Sus scrofa: one gene and its partners. The protein of the gene in region 2 purifies or fractionates together with the protein of the main gene of each other region. This does not show direct contact. Links are inferred from orthologs where the notes say so. Each region holds a gene or a part of one and is shown on either strand. Other genes may lie near its edges. The genes, in order: DERL2, FAF2, UBAC2, SETDB1 and DERL1.

The links.
Region 1: the proteins of FAF2 (region 2) and DERL2 purify together in Homo sapiens (affinity purification with mass spectrometry; 5 studies listed by BioGRID and IntAct, counting the BioPlex papers as one, with this or other methods). This does not show direct contact. The link is inferred for Sus scrofa from reciprocal best matches to the Homo sapiens genes FAF2 and DERL2.
Region 3: the proteins of FAF2 (region 2) and UBAC2 purify together in Homo sapiens (affinity purification with western blotting; 7 studies listed by BioGRID and IntAct, with this or other methods). This does not show direct contact. The link is inferred for Sus scrofa from reciprocal best matches to the Homo sapiens genes FAF2 and UBAC2.
Region 4: the proteins of FAF2 (region 2) and SETDB1 purify together in Homo sapiens (affinity purification with mass spectrometry; 3 studies listed by BioGRID and IntAct, counting the BioPlex papers as one, with this or other methods). This does not show direct contact. The link is inferred for Sus scrofa from reciprocal best matches to the Homo sapiens genes FAF2 and SETDB1.
Region 5: the proteins of FAF2 (region 2) and DERL1 purify together in Homo sapiens (affinity purification with western blotting; 4 studies listed by BioGRID and IntAct, with this or other methods). This does not show direct contact. The link is inferred for Sus scrofa from reciprocal best matches to the Homo sapiens genes FAF2 and DERL1.

What each region holds. Positions count from the first base shown.
Region 1 is NC_010454.4:51,511,138-51,514,651, forward strand, and holds part of DERL2 (derlin-2), read left to right. Parts: intron 1-827; coding exon 828-901; intron 902-1,994; coding exon 1,995-2,088; intron 2,089-2,856; coding exon 2,857-3,052; intron 3,053-3,315; coding exon 3,316-3,406; intron 3,407-3,514.
Region 2 is NC_010444.4:81,402,263-81,405,776, forward strand, and holds part of FAF2 (FAS-associated factor 2), read right to left. Parts: intron 2,838-3,514; coding exon 2,655-2,837; 3' UTR 1-2,654. UniProt on the Homo sapiens protein: Plays an important role in endoplasmic reticulum-associated degradation (ERAD) that mediates ubiquitin-dependent degradation of misfolded endoplasmic reticulum proteins.
Region 3 is NC_010453.5:68,143,510-68,147,636, reverse strand, and holds the start of UBAC2 (ubiquitin-associated domain-containing protein 2), read right to left. Parts: upstream 2,803-4,127; 5' UTR 2,140-2,802; coding exon 2,109-2,139; intron 1-2,108. UniProt on the Homo sapiens protein: Restricts trafficking of FAF2 from the endoplasmic reticulum to lipid droplets.
Region 4 is NC_010446.5:98,290,438-98,294,674, forward strand, and holds the start of SETDB1 (histone-lysine N-methyltransferase SETDB1), read right to left. Parts: upstream 2,802-4,237; 5' UTR 2,677-2,801; exon of another isoform or gene 2,475-2,676; intron 1,591-2,474; 5' UTR 1,580-1,590; coding exon 1,320-1,579; intron 1-1,319. UniProt on the Homo sapiens protein: Histone methyltransferase that specifically trimethylates 'Lys-9' of histone H3. H3 'Lys-9' trimethylation represents a specific tag for epigenetic transcriptional repression by recruiting HP1 (CBX1, CBX3 and/or CBX5) proteins to methylated histones.
Region 5 is NC_010446.5:16,337,910-16,341,423, reverse strand, and holds the end of DERL1 (derlin-1), read right to left. Parts: intron 2,320-3,514; coding exon 2,181-2,319; 3' UTR 19-2,180; downstream 1-18. UniProt on the Homo sapiens protein: Functional component of endoplasmic reticulum-associated degradation (ERAD) for misfolded lumenal proteins. Forms homotetramers which encircle a large channel traversing the endoplasmic reticulum (ER) membrane.

The DNA of each region.
Region 1 (3,514 bases), on a different chromosome or scaffold from region 2:
CATTGTGAGGAGTATTAGAGTATTCTGTCTTGTTGGGACTTGGCTCTTTGTTCAGACTAGAACTTGAGTATTTGCTTTAGAATTCCTCTTTACTCGGGATGTTTCTGATGGCTAACATAAAAGCATTTCTTAGCAATTGATGTTAGATCCTGCAGCTTTTCTCTGGTATCTTGAGACTACTCATTAAACTGTGATACTGCATACATGAAAGCACTGTTTCCTGTTCTGCAAGTTAACCTAGTCTTTCCATCAAACTCTTTCCATAATTTGTCTTGACCTTATGGTATGGTTTAAAAAAAAAAAAAATTAGGAGTTCCCCTTGTGACTCAGTGGAAACGAATCTGACTAGCATCAGTGAGGATGCTGGTTCGATCCCTGGCCTCACTCAATAAGTTAAGGATCCAGTGTGGCCATGAGCTGTGGTGTAGGTCACAGACACAGCTGGGATCTGATGTTGCTGTGGCTGTGGCGTAGGTCAGCAGCTATAGCTCCAGTTCGACCCCTAGCCTGGGAGCCTCCATATGCTGCAGGTAGCCCTAAAAAGCAAAAAAATAAAAAATAAAATTAAAAATCACAATTTTAAGTTTTCTGTCCTTTTATCCTTTGAAATATCCGAGGGGGTGGTAAAATCCTTCAGATTTTACCTAGAAGCAGCATAAAAATCCACTGTTAGATTGTTCACCTCACTTTTGAGTTCAGAACATAGTATCAGCTACCCATGGCCTTTCAACCATTGTAGTCCTTAGGATGTTTCTGTGTCTTGATATGGAAATGTTTCGTAGTATATTTTACTTATTCTTTCTCTTGACTTTTTTTTCTCTTAACAGATATGGAGGCTAATCACCAATTTTTTATTTTTTGGGCCAGTTGGATTCAATTTTTTATTTAATATGATTTTTCTGTATCCTTTTCTAAGTGGGCTTAGCATAAAAACTTTAGGTTTACTTAGGAAATACAATATTAATTTGAAGCTATAACCCTGTTAATTTTGTTACCATCTTAGTTATAACTTCCTGGGGGTACTGGCTCAGTGATCCACAGAATAATTGGCCAGATAGTAATGTTTTGAGGGTGTTTGTAGGTCACTATTTATTCAAGTGGGAGGTATTTAACCATAAAACATTTACGTTTCTGCCCATAAGCCACTTGCAAATCTGATCAGGGGAGAGCAGAAGTGATTTGAGCCGTACTTAAAAAGTAACACCAGCAGGTACCAAGTGATAAAACACAGCCTGGGAATGGGTTCATGGGGGATGGAGAACATGAGATCTCCTTGGATCTCGGTTGCTGGTTCTACTGGCTGAAAAGGCAGTGTCTGTTGGGCTCGCCATGTTCCAGTTTGTTGCAAGAAGGGAAGAGTTGTGCTCTGGTCAGATGTGATTGGGGCCGCTGAGCAGTGCATTTCTCCTGTACCCTGACCCTCCAGATTAAGAGGGGAGTTGGAGCTCAGCTCATTGGCAGTAGACAGAGGGCCTTGTAGGGTGACAGGCTTCCTGGCCTAGGATGGATTCCTGTGTCTTCTCTATGGTATATCGTTCTGGTAAGTTTCTTATTAAATGTTTTCATTGTCATGCCACCTTATTGACTGAGGTATGGAAATGCTTATCCACTTGGCCTGAAAAAGGGGATTATTACATGAGCCTCCTTGATGGGCATTTCCTCCCAGTTAGGTTGTGGAAAAGCAAGGATGCTGTGGATTATGCTATGGCTGAACATGGGAAGGACAGTACAGCCATGAGAAGGTGTCGTAGGTCATGGGAAGCATGTCTCTGTGGTGCCTGGCTCAGGTCCCCAACCAGGAAGAGTTTCTATAAAATAAGGAGGTAGTCTCCTCTTCACCGTGCCTAAAGCGCCCGGCCAAAGAGAAGGAGCCGTACCACCACTCATGAAGATTCTTACAGACAACGCGGAGTCCAAGTGCATTTGAGGGATCCCTTAAATTTTACTTTCTTCCTATTTGTGTGCTTAAACATTTTCTTAACTTGGAACTTAAGGTATCGGTACTGTCGAATGCTAGAAGAAGGCTCTTTCCGAGGTCGGACAGCAGACTTTGTATTTATGTTCCTTTTTGGTGGATTCTTAATGACTGTATCCTTCAACAAATAGAACAAATGCAGGAAAAGATTAAAGAATACCCTCTCTCTTCCTAGAGCTTTTCATCTGTCTCCCGGAACTCACTAGATACTCGGAATGAAGAGATAAAAGTAGACACCCCAGAGTTTAGCTTCAGGCTCCTACCGTTTATTTTGCAGCACACTTTATGTGACAGCTTTCTAAGCCTAGAGGTTGGACAGGGAAACTTTTCTACTGTGAGCAAGTCAGAGAACATTTAACCCAGGTGGGTTACTCTTAAGTATCTTAGATGTATTCTGGTCAATGGGTGTACATCATTTATTTTTAAACTCGAGTTGGTCAGACATTTATGTGGTCATTCATCAAAACAGGTAAATTATTTTTTAAAAAAAAAAAAAAGAATTATCATCTAAGCACGAGACTTGACTGTAGCACTACCTGACAAGATGGTTTTGCTCCAGCTGGCTTTATTCAGCTCTGGAAAGGTCCTCGTGGTGAAAGTATTACTGACCAAGGAATTAACACATGTTCCAAAGAGGCAAGGGCTTCATGAAGGCAGACACTTAATTTGAAGTAGCAACAGTCCCAGTGATGTGACCTAAACAGGTTTTTGCCTGACGGCTCTGGGTAATTACTTTCGGGCTTTTTTTTCTCTCCTAAATTTGTAACCACTGCTCGCCTTTCCCAATTCAGACTTCTGTTAGAACACAATCCTTAGTTCTCTTGCCCAGTCTTCCCTATTATCCTTTTAATATTGCTGTTTTCCTTAATGCCAACTGCTAGCTTTTTGGTTTGTTTGTGAGCTTAGTGTTCTTGGGCCAGGCCTTTACAATCATGCTTGTCTACGTGTGGAGCCGAAGGAACCCATATGTCCGCATGAACTTCTTCGGCCTTCTCAATTTCCAGGCCCCCTTTCTACCCTGGGTGCTCATGGGCTTTTCCTTGTTGTTGGGGAACTCAATCATTGTGGACCTCTTGGGTAAGAGTCTTAGCACTACTTTTCCTATTATTTATTTGGCAAATGTATTATGTCACTATTTTTCATGTTTATTCTGTCTGGCCTTCCTACATAGCCATTATAGGATTATTTGCTAGTTATAATCAAGACTATAATATTTGTTTTCAAACTTTTAATAAGTATATTGACATTTCTTCCTAAATAGAGGCTATTTATGTTCGTAGAGCCACCTGCAATCGAACTTCTAATCCTCTCCATCATCCTTTATTTCTGGTTGACCGTAGGTATTGCAGTTGGACACATATATTTTTTCTTGGAAGATGTATTTCCCAATCAGCCTGGCGGAATACGAATTCTGAAAACACCATCTATTCTGTGAGTAGTTAACACCAGGTCACGTGTTCCTTAACAGATTAAACCGGGGCAGGGTCCATGATATGTTTTCTCGGGGCTCCCACAGCTGCTGGCACACATAGTTCAGGC
Region 2 (3,514 bases):
TCATAGTGGAGGCAAACAAGGAGAAACAAGTATTTGCTGCAGGAAATTCTGCAGAAGTGGAAAAGACCAGAAGTGGCCCCACTGAGGCTGAGGAAATTCAACTGACTCCAATTGGATGTCTTTTCTTGGTCATTTCCTATGGAAATTCAGCCAAATCTACTTCAGTCTTGGGAGTGCAGGACAAAATTGAAAACAAGTGTTTTTGTTTAGCTGATGACCTGCCATTTGGAAACAGCTGAAATAACCCGGTGGTGATTTGGAAACAAGAGCAAATGCTTACAGATCATGGGCTTCTCAATATTTTCTCACTTGCAGGTCCCATCAAGTTCCCAGAGGTCCTTGGGAGTAACATACAGATTGTACTGGCATTGACAAAATGTGCATCTATCGGGGAGGAAAGGAGATGGCACCTAAGCAGCAGCTCTAGGTCTGCAAGGAGACAGGAACTGGGTCTGAATAAAGCAGGGCTGTTTCAACATGGACTAGAAGGAGCATGAGCTTCATGTGGTGCCTCTTGAAACCTTAAGTAAATGGACAGGCCATCCCAAGAGCTGTACTGACATGAACAGACTTTTTCTAAACATTCTGGCGGCTCATCTCCTTTACTGGACAAGTTATCAAAAGGCAGGAGGCATAAAGTGCACATTGTAGAATAAGATGAATGTGGAATTATTTCAGAAAAAAAATTTACAACTTCGCAGAGATGTGGGCAAGATACTCAGTACACTCAGCCTAGCGAAGGTCTTTAATACCCCCGGTGTACTGCCAGGGAAACAGCTATGAATTCCAGACACGGAGGGAGGCTTTCAATTAAGAATTCCTCTCTGCATGGTTGTCAGCAGGAAGCAGGCTTCACACAAGGTGGATTGGAGAACATGGTTTATCCTGGTATTCACTCCGGATGTGACAACAGTCACTTATTTCCCACTCATCTGGGCTGGCCTGTGACATCAGGAAACAGTGGAAGAGTAATAAGCAGCCAGGAGCAGAATCAAAATTTTCCTGGAGATGGTGCTGTAGACGCCTGTGCCAAGGCCACTGAGACATTCTCAGGCTCCCCGGGTGATATCCATGAGGCTCTTCAACCTGCCCCTTGGTCTTTACCCCACCACGGAAGGCCAAAGAATATAGTAGCCACATCACCGCTACCTCAATGAATGGTCCTTAGGTTTTAGCTAAGCAAGAGAAAGCCTTTGGAGACTGCAAATCTAACAAGTTATACTTTATCTTGATATGAACCCCTGGCCTCATAGCATCCTAGGGAACTGCACTAATTTCAGTAGGTTGCAGTATTATGAGTCTGCACCAGTCTAGCTACACAACACTTTGGAATACTTGCCAGCTCACGCTGGCATCTGTTGATACATGGCCTGACCCATGTACCCATTACCATAAAGTCAACCACAGACATTCGGAGGTTAAAACCCCTATTACTTCAACATAGCAATAGAGAGGATAAAAACTGCCTCCAGCAGGTGGCAACATCAAAAACTGCAGTGTGCCCTTCAACAGTTTAAAGAGGCTGAGTTCTGTCTTGGCTCCCTTCAAGGCCTCAGTTTCTTTGTCCTTAAAATACACCACCACCACACTCCCAATGAGGCAGGGCACTCTTACGTGGTTCTAGTGGTTCCACTACAGGCCCTGCTAGTCCTCTGGAAAGGCACCAGGCTTGGCGATTCAGGAAAGCTCAGGGCTGGGCAGGAACAGCATTCATGTGTCAGAAGAGGAAGAGCTGCTAACCCTTGGATCAGACCCCATAATGATCACCTGGTACAGATTCCAAAGAAAAGCTGCAGTTGTGTGTACAGGTGAGTCTACATGGACTTCACACCACATATATGGGTGTATCTGTACATACAGGTTTTGCAGGGGTACAAACCCAGATTTCCTCCCACTGCTTCAAGTGGGGTGCATAGATGGAAAGAAAGGACAGAAAGAGTTGGACCAAAAAGAACCACCTCTCTGGGAACATGAGAGGAACAATTGCATAAATAAGCACAAACCAGCCCAGGGCACCTTTATTACACTCTGGTGGGGAGGAGCCCAGGGCATGAACTCATGGGTTTAAGAATTGGCTCTTTATCAAATAATGTTAAGGGAAAAAAAATACACCTATGTCAGCCTCATTCCTTTGGTCATTACAGAGCAACAGAAAAAAATTTAAAAGTTATTCATAAGCTGTTGGAAGTAAAAGGAACATCTCTGCTCTGTGCCTTCTCTTCCCTCTCTTCTCCAGAGGTGGGAGAAGCAAGTCTTCGGGAGATGCTGCAGTAGCTGGTTGATGGAGGTTTGTTTCACTTTTATATTCCATAAAAGCAAGAATGAATGAGAACTAGTGGGAATGTCCCCTTCCCCAGTTGAGACATGGCTGGGTTGGAGGTGAAGAGTCTCCTTTCGTTGGAAGGTGCGTGGTGCAGAGGCAGTAGGGAAGGGTGGGCTTGCCAGCAGGAACGTTCATTGCTAACCTCATGCACACACACAGGTGGTGACTCTTGCAGGCAGCATGGTTTTTGATCCTTCCTTAGGATGCAGCAGTCTTTTAAAAAAAATATTGTATTATAATAATAATAATATGAATTTCTCTTTTTTTTTTTTTTTTTGTTTTCCATTTCTTTTAGGGATTGGGGTGGGAGAGGAGGAGAGGAAAAAAAGTGTCATTCATCTGTTAGGTCCTGAACAAAGAGAACTTCTGTGTGGCTGAGTCCGGCCTCCTGCAGTGTGGGGGGGTTGGGCCACTCCTCTGAAGGAATGCAGGGCAGCACCCTCCGGGGAAAATTGGCTTCAATCTGAAACTTTTCAGGGCTTTCTTTCAAAGAGAATAAGAAGTCGTGGATTACCTGTAGAGGTCATACAAAAAAAAGGCAGTGAGAAAAAGACAGACACACAACCATGAAATCAAATAAATTCCAGCTCTTTCCAGGATGACTGAGACATGAAGTCATTACATCACATTGAAATTCCATTTCAAAGTCAATCCATTTCACAGAGCAAATACATAGGGCAGCTCTAAGAAATTTATTACATAGCCCAATGCTAGTCCTAATCTGAACTGACCTGTTTCTTCTTTGAAAACTTCTGATATAAAGCTAAACATTTTTTGTTAGAAATAATCAAGTTACAGAAAAGGTGGAAGTATGGGACACAAAATTTTTTATTTTGAAACCAGTTCTAAGTGAGCTACCAACTGAATGTCCCATCACCCCAGAATACTTGTGCATGACATGACAAGCTCATTCATAATACAACCCTCAAAATCAGGGTGGCACATTATTACAGTATTATAATAATATACATTACATTTTTATTCAGGACCCATTCTAGTTTTGACAGTTGCCTTTATTTCTATTTTTATCTTTCTTTGCCTTTTTAGGGCCACACCTGCAGCAAATGGAGGTTCCCAGGCTAGGGGTCAAATTGGAGCTGGAGCCATGGGCCTATGCCACAGCCAAAGCAACATCAGATCCAAGCTGCATCTGCAACCTACACCACATCTCACAGCAATGCCAGCTCCTCA
Region 3 (4,127 bases), on a different chromosome or scaffold from region 2:
TGCACGAACAGTGTGCGCTTCTGTGGGGGCTCAACAGACGCCAACTGCGGAGTAACTAAATGAATGGGGGCGAAGCAAGTGTACGAGGAAAGCACCACCATCCCGCAGTCACAGATGGGAGAAATGCACAGGTGGTAGGAAATGGCCAGGACTCTTCCCTCGAAAAGACAATGTTACTCAGCATCCCGAGGGGCTGTGCTTGGCAGATTATTCATCCTCAGGACACTCACTCAGGATCAGAACTCTGACTTCCCAAAGGGCCACACGACTTATCATCAAAAGGAACTCGCTTCCCTCTCAGTGGGTAGCCTTGCAAAGAAAAATTTCTCACCCAGACTTGCCACGAGACGTGGGAAAATGGTGCCTCAACACCACTGTATACACTGTAAACACTGGCATCAAGGCTTGTCCAGTGTGGCCATCTGAGCACCCAGCAGTGTGCAGCCCACAACAGAGGTTCAAAATGTTTGTTGAGTGAGCATATAAGACATGGCCTTCCGAGGAATGGCCATTCTATCAGTTCTTACGCTGCAGATACATTTATTTCAAAACAGGGCAAGACAGCTGAGGAGGAGCCTTTGGCCTTGGCCTCTCCCTAAGCATCAGTTTGGCTCCTAGAATTCAATACTCATCAACCATGTGCCACAGGTAATCAAGCATTACCTTCCCCAGAGTCACCCTGTATCAAATTTGCATAACCTTTGTCAAAATCATGGCTCATACAGAATAGTAACCAATAACAGACTTTGCTTGCCAATTAAATTTTTAAGGTGTTTTGGTCAGCAAGGAAGGATACTTCCAAATGATTAAAGAAAGCAAATACAACTGAAAACTACCGTTCATTTCATATTCACAATGCACAGCTCACGTTATGATTCCAGGAAAATCACACCCCACCTTCTTGACTATCAATTTCAACAGTCATAATGTTCTTTACCCAAAGGGCAGTTTGGGGAAGATTAATTACCTAGTAGTTGTAACGTACTCTGAGGCCAACGCTTGAAAGCTGCCATAAATCAAATTAATTATGAAACCCAGGAAATCACAAATACTAAGCCCGCTTCAAAACATAAAAAGCTGAGAAGGGAGAGAGATGCAAAATTATGCCCGTGGCCCTGATACTCACTCCCAAACTAAGACAGGTATTTTCAGGAAAAGATTCCTAACATTCACAACAGTTCGTTAATACCTGGAAGTATCTACTGCCTCCGCAAGATTGACTTCAAACGTACAGAGACATGAAGTACCAACAATGACACAAACTGCAAAAACTATAGCTGTTCGAAGAGTTCACTGCAGTTGTTGCATGCCTAATCTCGGCACTGTTTAGTTAGCATACATGGCACCTTACCAAAAGTCAATGAAGCCACTTCAGCAAGAAAAAGAAAGTTCTTTAAAAAGCTATATATACTTCTTCGCTCTCTATCTTCTGACCACACTGACAATCCAAAAAAAACAACATCCAGCAGAAATGTTCCTGCTTTCCTGCCAAACTACTTCCAAACTTGCTCCCACTTTGAAGTACTTTAATTAGTTTTTGTTTATCTAAAAACTCCTAAGGGAGACGGGGGGCGTAAAAAAAAATCAAAGTAAATCTAAAGGGTCAGCTCCAGAAGCAGAGGCTGTAATTTGCATCGTTTGGGGAAAAGCCAGCTTGGTCCCTCTGCAGCCTAAATGAATGGAACAAGGTGATGGGGAAGGGGGCGAGGTTCCAACACCACCTCCACTCGGACAGCCTCTACTTTCTACCTGGCAGGCGCGCCGCTGAGGGCAAGGGGCAGGGCCAGGAGAACACCAGAACAACCCAGCCCGACCCTAACCGCCTGGCCCACCTGCAGCACCCCGGGAACACCTGAGCATCGCACCTGGGGCTCACAGGTGGGGGGGCTGGGGGCGGGACTCACTCCCACTCGCCCCTCCAGGCCGAGGTGGGGGCGGTGTCCGCTGCCCCGCCACAGACAGGAACTACCAAGGTTCTGGCAAGGGGATGGAAGATCGGCCCCCAAACCTCCTGCAGCCCCGAGAGTCCCCGCAGCCACCAGTCTCCTCAAGGAGCTGCCCAAGGTGGCGTGGAGGAGCCAGCCAGGATGGCGGCGGCCGGTACTCACAGAGCCCACTGGAGCCGGTGCTGGTGAACATGGTCCCGCCGGACCCAGAGCCCCCGCGGGGGACAGGGGGAGGGGAAGCGGAGGCGGAGGGAGCCCGGCGACCGCGCAGGCGCACTCCCGGCGGGGCGGTGAATCCGGCAACGCCACTCCACTCCAGGGGCCGCCCGCGAACAGCGCATGCGCAACTCCTTAGCCGCCTCCCTTCCTGCCGGGGAAGGGAAGTGCATCCGCGGCGAGAGGGGCCGCTTCTCTGGCTTTTTCCGACGGCCGCGGGAGCCTTGGAAAAGGAGTAGGATGGTTTGGCAGGAACAAGTGTAACTCCTGGGAGCCTCACACTAGTGCTTAGCGCTGTCCCCAAGCCCCTCGGAGCCGCGAAAGCAGCGGGTTCCCCTGGAATGCCGGTGCGGGCGCATCCCCGGCGGCGACCTCTAACCTCTCGCCGGACGGGACGCCCGGCGCGCACCACGCATGCTCAGTCCTCCCGTGCCGGCTCCTGCGCTCGCTCCCCTGCCGACTGCTGACAGCTTGTCTCGAGTTCCGGTGTCCAGCGAAGTGCGAGAGGCAGCTCTGCGGACGCAAGGGGAGCAGAGCTGGGAGGCCTTCCCGGTCGCTGAGAGTAGGGCTGTCCTGCTGCCCCTCCGTGTTCCCCATGTCGGTTCCGCGCGAAATCCCCAAAAAAGTGCTGAGGGTCGTGGCCCCTGGACCCTCATTCCTCTCCGCCGCGGTGGCCGGTGTCCAGGTGTCCCAGGCGCAGTGCGTCTGTGACGGAGCAACGGTGCTCCCCACATCTCTGCCCTGGAGCCCTTCTGGACCCATGCTGTTTAAATTGTTTTCCCTTGCAAAAGTTTTACTCCCTGCTAAAGCAAAGTTACAGTTTTTTAAGTGAGTTTGAGCTTGGAAACTTTAATGTTGTGCAGTCTTTAAGAAATACATACGGTGGAATTGACCAACTACGAGGCTGAACGAAAAGGATAGGCTACAAAATTATGTACAGTATACTCTTCAAAAAAAAAGGTAGTATTTGACTGCTTGTATGGGCCAGGCACTGGGCTAAATGTGAACTTTGCAGATCAATAGAACACAGTTCCTGCCCTTAAGGAGAGGTGCCAGTGGGCCAAAATATTACCATTTATACTGTGTAAAGTGACTTTTCTTTAGGCTTTATTTGTAAAGTTTGTTCACACTTTTGAAATACATATTATATTTAGCTTGAGATTCATCTAGTTGACTTATTTTGCCATAAAAATGATACTTTCAGGGTATCATGTTTGCAGAAAGCCCTTGGCGGTAGCCAGCATAGGACCTCCTGAGTGGTTCTCATGGTAGGTGTGGGAACCACCATCCCTCCACTTAAGCAGTACAAAAGGCTAAAGGTATCTTTACAGTGGTACAAAGACATTGTTTGCCATTTACTCTTAAATCACTCAGGAGTATACAGAAGAGTTTCCTTCCCTCTGTACAATTGGAAAGATTGATTAACTTAACCAGTATTTTCCAGGTGACCAGTACATGATGTCACAAAACTATGCATGGCAAATGAACCTATCTACAGAACAGAAATAAACTCAAACAGACATGGAGAACAGACCTGTGGTTGTCCCAAGGGGGAGGGGAGGGAGTGGGGTGGACTGGGAGTTTGAGGTTAGTAAATGCAGACTATTAAATTTAGAATACATAAGGAATGAGGTTCTGCTGCATAGCACAGGGAACTATATCCAATCTCTTGTGATAGAACATAATGTAAGATATCAGAAAAATATATATATATATGAATGACCGAGTCACTTTGCTGTACAGCAAATGTTGACACATTATAAATCAACTGTACTTTAATAAAAAAAAAAAAAACTCGGAGTTCCCGTCGTGGCGCAGTGGTTAACGAATCCGACTAGGAACCATGAGGTTGCGGGTTCGATCCCTGCCCTTGCTCAGTGAGTTAAGGATCCGGCGTTGCCATGAGCTGTGGTGTAGGTTGCAGACGCGGCTCGGATCCTGCGTTGCTGTGGCTCTGGCGTAGGC
Region 4 (4,237 bases), on a different chromosome or scaffold from region 2:
AGAGCCACTAGAATATATATATGTATATATTATTATTATTTTTGGGCTGTGCCCAAGGCATGTGGAAGTTCCTGGGCCAGGGATTGAGTTCGTGCCACAGCAGCGACCCCAGCCACAGCAGTGACAATGCTGGAATCTTATTCTACTGCACCACAAGGGAACGGCTAAATATATTTAACTATATACTGACCTCAATTTAAACTGGCCATATTCCAAAGAGTCTCAGTTTCTTTTCTTTCTTTTTTGTCTTTTGTCTTTTTAGGGCCGCACCTGCGGCACATGGAGGTTCCCAGGCTGGGGTCTAATTTGAGCTACAGCTGCCAGCCTACACCACAGACACAGCAACACCAGATCTGAGCTGCATTTGCAACCTACACCACAGCTCACGGCAGCGCCGGATCTTTAACCCACTGAGCAAAGCCAAGGATCAAACTCGCAACCTCATGGTTCCTAGATGGATACATTTCTGCTGCGCCACGACAGGAACTCCTCTTTTTTTTATTTTTTATTTTAGGGCCGCACCCGAGGCATACTGAAATTCCTAGGCTAGGGGTCTAATTGGAGCTGCAGCTGCTGGCCTACATCACAGCCAAAGCAATGCCGGATCTGAGCTGTGTCTGTGACCTACACAACAGCTCACGGCAATGCCAGATCCTTAACCCACTGAGCTGGGCCAGGGATTGAACCCACATCCTCATGGATACTAGTCAGATAGCTGAGCCACAACAGGAACTCCATGTCTCATTTCTGAACATAAAATGCTTTCCCCACAGAAAAATGTTTAAATAGTGGTTTTCAGGGAAGTTTTTCAAAAATCCAAAATACGCCCAAAGCATGGTCCTTTCAACCTTACTTCATCATTTACCTTCTTGTTGTTTAAATATGTGTTTTAAGTGACAATTAGAGCACCAGAAATAAAATTTTCTGGGGATTTAGGAGTAGAAACAGGGCTCTAGGAACTTATTAATACTTCACAGTTACATGAAACAGCAGGTCTTTACCAAGTGCACTCCTAGATGATCCTACTACAAAATCAAAACAATTAATTGTTCTGATGTAGAGTGAAGGATAAAGAAGGGAAATGGACTTAAGACTTGGACTTCTAAAAAAAAAAAAAAAAAGACTTGGACTCCTCTATTGCTAATCATATATTAGCCTCTGATAGATAAACATTATATGGGTGGTATGAGGTCAGATTTTGGCCCCTAACCTTTGGGGAAGGGTAAGGTTTTACACATCTGTACCTTCTGAAGTATAAAGTGCACAATGTCATCAATAATTATGGACAGATTTCCTTCTATTTCTCAAAAGGTCCTTACTTGGATGCATCATCAAAGAGCTGGTCAACATGGGCCACCTCGGATTCCTTCTGTATTACCCAAGTCTCCAACTCTGCTAGTTGCTTCTTGCGCTGCTGTACACAGTCCATCTTTTCCAATTCTTCATCAATGAACTGTCGAAGTTCTTCCATAGAGATACCCAGTTCCTCAACGACTGCCTGTTGCAGCTCTGCAATTTCTTCAGACTCCATTGCAGCTGCTGCTGCATCCAAACCAATGCACCCAGGGAGGGAGGACATACTGTTGTCCTCTATATAGAGAGCAGGAAACTAAAATTACTATAACGACAATACAGAATTTCAGTGACCTAACAAAACTCATTTCTACTCTGCTATTTGTTACTCAAATATATATAGGTAGGTTTGATTCCATGTTCTTTCTCCCCATTCTCCAGTGTCTGAAGCTGAGATTTTGCAGTTCTCACCTCTTGCAGGCTAGACTACAGACCTGAATAAAACGAAAAAGTTTGAGAGGGCGTGGAGAACACATATTACGCAACAGGGAGCTATCTAAAATGTTTTAGGAAACTGAAGAGAATCAACATATCGAAGAGATTTCTGTGACCTGTGTTCTTTAATTAACTAATTTGATATATCCCTGTTTGCACACCATGACTAACCTGAGTAAATATCCCCACCTGGAGCAGAGGATTTGGTCTGTAACTCAATAATTTCTTTTTAATTACTTTTCCCCCTACATTACTTTGCTTTCACATGGCAATTTACATTTTTAAAAAGTCTGTAATACTTAAGCAGACAAAAGCTTGCAGCAAAGAGGTTTCCCCAAAGTGAAAAGAAATAAAACAATTTGGGAATAAAAAATGTGGCTGCCTCAAATCGTCAATTCAAACGCCCCCACACTTTGGTGTTAACTGCTTTCCTGATCAAACGGTTCAAACAAAACTGACGCCAGAATGCCGCGCGACCCCAGTGCCAATTTTCACCGTCTCCATTTTTCTTTTGCCCACACGCCGCCCCACCCCCGTGTTACTCATTTTAGGGGTGCGTCCCACCCACCCGCGAACCCAGCTCAACCCCGCCCCCGATAGTCTCTCAGGGAAGACTTCCTACCCATCCTCACCCGACCTCCCACCACAAACAAACCATTCGAGATAAGCCCTTGGTCTCCAAATACCTCAATTAACAGTGTTTCCCACACCTCCCTGCTTCCAGCTACGATGGCTCTTTCTCACCGACCAGACCCCACGATTCAGGGGTCGGCCTCGGTAGGAAAGAACGAAACCGAAGGGAAAAGGGAGCAGGGGGAGGGGAAGAAGCGTGAGGGAGGGAAGGGGAAGAAAAAAAAAAAAAAAAAAAAAAAGACGCCGGAAGCAAACCTGAGGCGCTGTTCCGGTCGCCACGACGGTAGCCTGACGGGGTCAAATTCAAAGAGGCAGGGCGCCCCTAAAAGGGTGAGAAACGCCGCCTAATACGCATGCGTCAAAGCGGAGCCTCCCGGAGCACACGTGAGAAGAGTCTGGCTAAAGTAGGCGTGGCCTGGGGTGCATTGCAGAAGCTCCGCCTCTTCCACCACTCCAAGTGGTGGCAGTATTGCCAAGAGCCAAAAAGGATGAAAAGTTGTCTTTTTGGCAGTTGCACAATATTTCATAATATGACATAATAACCCATATTTTGAAATCTAGTTTTCAGTTTTTAGCCACTACAAATCACTCAGCAATAAACATTAAAATGGAGTTCCCCCTGAGGCTCAATGTGTTAAGAATCCTGGGTTAGGAATCCAGCTGGGGCAGCTGGGGTCGCTGTGGAGCTACTTAGAAACCCAGGCGGATGAGTTGCCCTGCCATAATGAGAGAACGCTAGAGGGTCTCGCGCTGGCAATTAAAGTGACTCTGGGCACTTTAATTTACAACTCATTGGTTGGAAATGAGTCATAAGGCCCTACCCAAACACAGAGGGGCCAGGAAGAACATTCACTCCAGGGAGGGAGAACCAGATGTATTTGATGAATCAGCACTGTTGACTACCACGGAATCTCGTCATTGCTTTAATCTGCCCAGCTATCTTTACACTAACTGCACCTAACTTCATTAAAAAAATATATAAACCTGGGGAGTTCCCGTAGTGGCTCAGTGGTTAACGAATCCAACTAAGAACCATGAAACTTCGGGTTTGATCCCTGGCCCCACTCAGTGGGTTAAGGATCCCACATTGTGGTGAGCTGTGGTGTAGGTCTCAGACGCAGCTTGGATCTAGCATTGCTGTGGCTCTGGTGTAGGACAGCAGCTACAGCCCTGATTAGACCCCTAGCCTGGGGACATCCATATGTTGCCGGTGTGGCCCTGGAAAAGACAAAAAGACAAATAAAATAAAATAAAATAAAAAAATCAGTGTTGGAGTTCCCGACATGGCTCAGCAGTAATGAACCCGACTAGTATCCATGAGGAAGTGGGTTTGATCCCTGGCCTCGCTCAGTGGGTTAGGTATCTGGCTTTGTGAGTTGTGGTGCAGGTCACAAATGTGGCTCAGATCTGGCGCTGCTGTGGCTGTGGTGGAAGCTGGCAGCTGTAGCTCCAGTTGAACCCCTAGCCGGGGAACTTCTCTATGCCATGGGTGCAGCCCTAAAAAAACCCCAAAAGAATCACTTTTCTAGACCATCACTCTTTCCCTACAGAGTTAACTCCTCCCTCTGTGGTTCTTTTATCTTAGTTCCTTTCCACTTGTGAGTTATCTATGTGTGTTTTCTCTGCTGGTTTGTGATCAACTCAAGGCTAAGGTCCTGTCTTAATCATCTTTGTTTCCCCTAGCATCTGACATATGGTGCCCCGTTATATCTAATGATTGAAGGAAATCTTTGCTCTGCCCTGATTATTTTTCTGTTAGTTAAATTCTCTTAGTTTTCTGATGTGTGTGTGGGTGGGCTGGGGGTGGAAATGAGGA
Region 5 (3,514 bases), on a different chromosome or scaffold from region 2:
ACTTAAGACAGACAACCATCAAGTTGCACATTTTAATTTACAATTTTTTACCAATAAAAAGGATGGGTTACAAAAAAGGGAATTTCTCCATACAAAATTAGGATTTTTTTTCATTCCTAAAGAGAAGCCCCCATCACAACTTGCCTAGCCAAGTCACATCTCAGATAGCTTGCTTAGCTAAAATTCTTCCCAAAGGATTGGTTATCCAGACAAAAGTAATAAAAGTATCAGCTTCCTGAATGTGTTTAAGAGGAAGAACTTAAATGAACTTTGGCCTTGAACTGAAGAATTCTAAGGACTGCCGGTAGCCTTGAGAAAGACTACTGCTCTGAGGCAGTTGAGCTGCTAAGACAGCATATGAGAGACTCTGGCTCACTTACCGTGGGAGTCTTCTGCTTCCACTCCTCATGGTGAGTCGAGTGCAACATAACAGGATGAAGGGCTTCTAAAATTTCATAAGTAAATTTTATTGTGGCCACAGGTCAACAGCAGAACATATGACAGTTAGGGTTCAGATGCTCCCCGCCTATTTTATCATATAAATTAAGTATGAGGAGGTACACACACACACACACACACACTTCATTAAAAATGAGGCGCTGTTTTCAGACCCCCATTTCCTAGTACAACACACATCGCTGCGTCAGAGCGAGGCCCGGAGTCACACTGTCCGCACACAGTGTTTCTTGCAAAGAGCCACTGATCAGAATGTTCAAAGCCTTTTTTTTTTCAGTTGATTCAAAGTATGGCAGTCACTCAACCCTGCTCCTAGCAGTCTGCTTGCAGAATAAAAATATAAAATAAGAAACTGTGAAACATCGTAGCCTTCAAAAACACTATTTGGTGACAAGCCTAGCTCTGATGGGAAAAGCTTACCTATGAAAAAAGAGTAGCGGATGTTGAAGCTGGTCTGATGATTCTTCATGAAGCAAAATTAAAAAAGACCCTCGCACACTCAAACACAGATGTCTCTAAAGCCATTACCACCCCAAATTTTGTATTCCACTTAGATGTGCATATAACAGCTCCTAAAATAAGACCTACGTACACAGGGGCTGCACCCTCCTCACAATTAACCGAAGCACATGGCTACCAGGGGTGGGGGGTAGGGGCTTGGGGGTGTCAGTTTGAAAAATAAAATAAAATTGACAACTTAAATAAGGTTTATGGTTCTCACCTTCGCTCTACTCGATAAACATATATCCAGAAAGAGAAGGAAGTAGAATTAACGCCCAGGAGCCTCGCAAAGAGAGGTAATCCCTGGGGCCAATGTGATTTGGAACTTTCTAGCACAGTACAAACCCACTCCTCTAGGTACACACAGAGCCAGTGTGCCCTACGTGAGATGCAAAGGGACTGTGCCCACCGCAGTTTAAACCCAGCCCCCGTGTCAGATCCAACTCCACCAGAGTTTTGCTTACTTTGGATTAAAAAAAAAAAAAAAAAAACGCCTAGCAACCACCCTCACGTCTCATTCATAGCAATCTGAGGTCCTCACTGACTCAGTGGTGCTTTTGGCTGTTTTTATCAAACAGCTGAAGACGTGACAGATGGGGGCAACTGACACCAGGTCACGGCCATTCCAAAAGCTGGGAGAGCTCTCCATCCGCTGCTGCGCCTTGTCCCCCACGGCGAGAGCTCAGCCCCTGGAAAACGGTGGAGCAAGGTCTTTGTCAGCCAAGCGTTGGCAGAAGTCAATACACAGAGCATGTCAGAGGCAGAACGGCTTTGTGGGCGACCTCCTCTAGCTGCAAATGTGGGGCTGGGGAGGAGGGGGGGAGGCGTGTGTGCGAGAAAGAGGTAAGAGTCCCTTTGATGAGGGGCTGGTGACCCGACCCCCGGTGCCCAGCTTGGTGCCAGCAGGGCGGGACCTGCCGAAACCCACTATGCAGATGGAAAAGGGAGAGAAGACACCAAAAGAACACGGGCAGTTCTGAAATTTGCACAGCTGATATTTGTTCTTCTCAGCAGTAAGGACTTGAATGAGAATCATGGAACGTGAGGAACACTTATATTTTTTTTCTTCAGGATTTAAAAAAACTGCTGTCTTGGACTGAAAGACTACATTCAGTGTGGGTTGGGTCCAACAGCATCGGCTAGAACTCGGTGGGTAAGGTCACCCAGCACTGGGAGACTTCATCGGAGCGGAGAGGCTGGTGGGCGGGCCAGAGGCCACTCCTTCACTGGTCCCCGAGGCGAAAGCCCTGTCCCCAGTTGTGTCTCCCGCCGCCGCCGTTCTGATCGGCGGCTCGCCGCATGCTAGCAGGGGGCACGCCAAACCCTGACACCCCTCCTCTCCTGCTGGGCAGCCAGCGGTACCTGGAGCACAAAGGGCGAGAAACAAGAGAGAAGGCCACACCGTCACTTCCACGTGGTCATCCGTCCCACTGCTGTTCCCGCAGCATCTGCCACATCAAATTACATTCGTCTGAGGCTGCGGGAGAGGCTGAGGACACCGTCTTATTAAACTTTGCCCATTCAGCACTTAGCGCAAGGGCCTGGCCACAAAAGGCACCCACTCTTGAGGTGGTTTTTGTTTTGTTTTGTTTTAATTGATTGAGCTTTCAGGCTAATGTCACTCTAAAAAAAATTTTTTTTTCTGATTATAAAAGCAATTCATGCAGACAGTATGGAAACAAAAATATTACACCCACAAGCCCAATATCCAGAAAGAACCATCTACAAGGCATTTTGGTTTATACAAATACGGATTGAACTGGCTCAAAGGATACAAAATTCAGTTCCAAAGGATAAACTTGCAGCCGGTGTGCATAAGCCCTGCGTGGCATCTCTGTGATGCGTCTGGGGTCTTCAGCCCCCGTCAAGGGACAATGGAGAAGGTGGCTTTGTGCCTTGGAGTTTGGGCGTGTTAAGTCTACTCAGTCTGCCCTCCCCCTGCATTCTTCCCACCTGTAGATGGTGGGAAGGCTGAGGCCCGGAAAGGTTAGCTGATTTCCCATCTTTCAAATTAATAAATGCAGTCACGGAACAGCTAAGAAAATGTAAGCCTGGACCTCCACATTCTCAAAAGTTTTTCCAGCTATTTCCCTTCCTTAACGATTAGTCAACTGAGAATGTATTTTAACCCATTCCACTTATCAGATGCTCATGTCTAAATGTTTTGGTTTGAAAGCAAAGACCGTGAGCTGGGACCACTGTTTAAACTCCTCATGGCACCGAGAGCAGGCAGGCGCGAGGTGTGACCTGCCCACAGCAAGAGGCCTGCCGAGCTCACCCTTGTCACAGCGTTTCCCTTACACAAGGCGCTTCAGGTTTATCGGCTCATCTCATCTCCTCGTCCGCCCTGTGAGGCAGCCACTGCGATCACCCCATCTCACAGAGGTGAAAACTGAGGCAAGACTGAGCAAAGGTCTTCTAAAGTGACAGTCGGGATTCGAGGCCAGGCGGCCTGGCTCTGGAGCTGGCACCCTGCACATGTGCCCACACCTCACGCTCCCACAGGGACACAGAGGGCGCCGTTCAGGCGACCGTGACTGGACCCTTCATGGGTCTG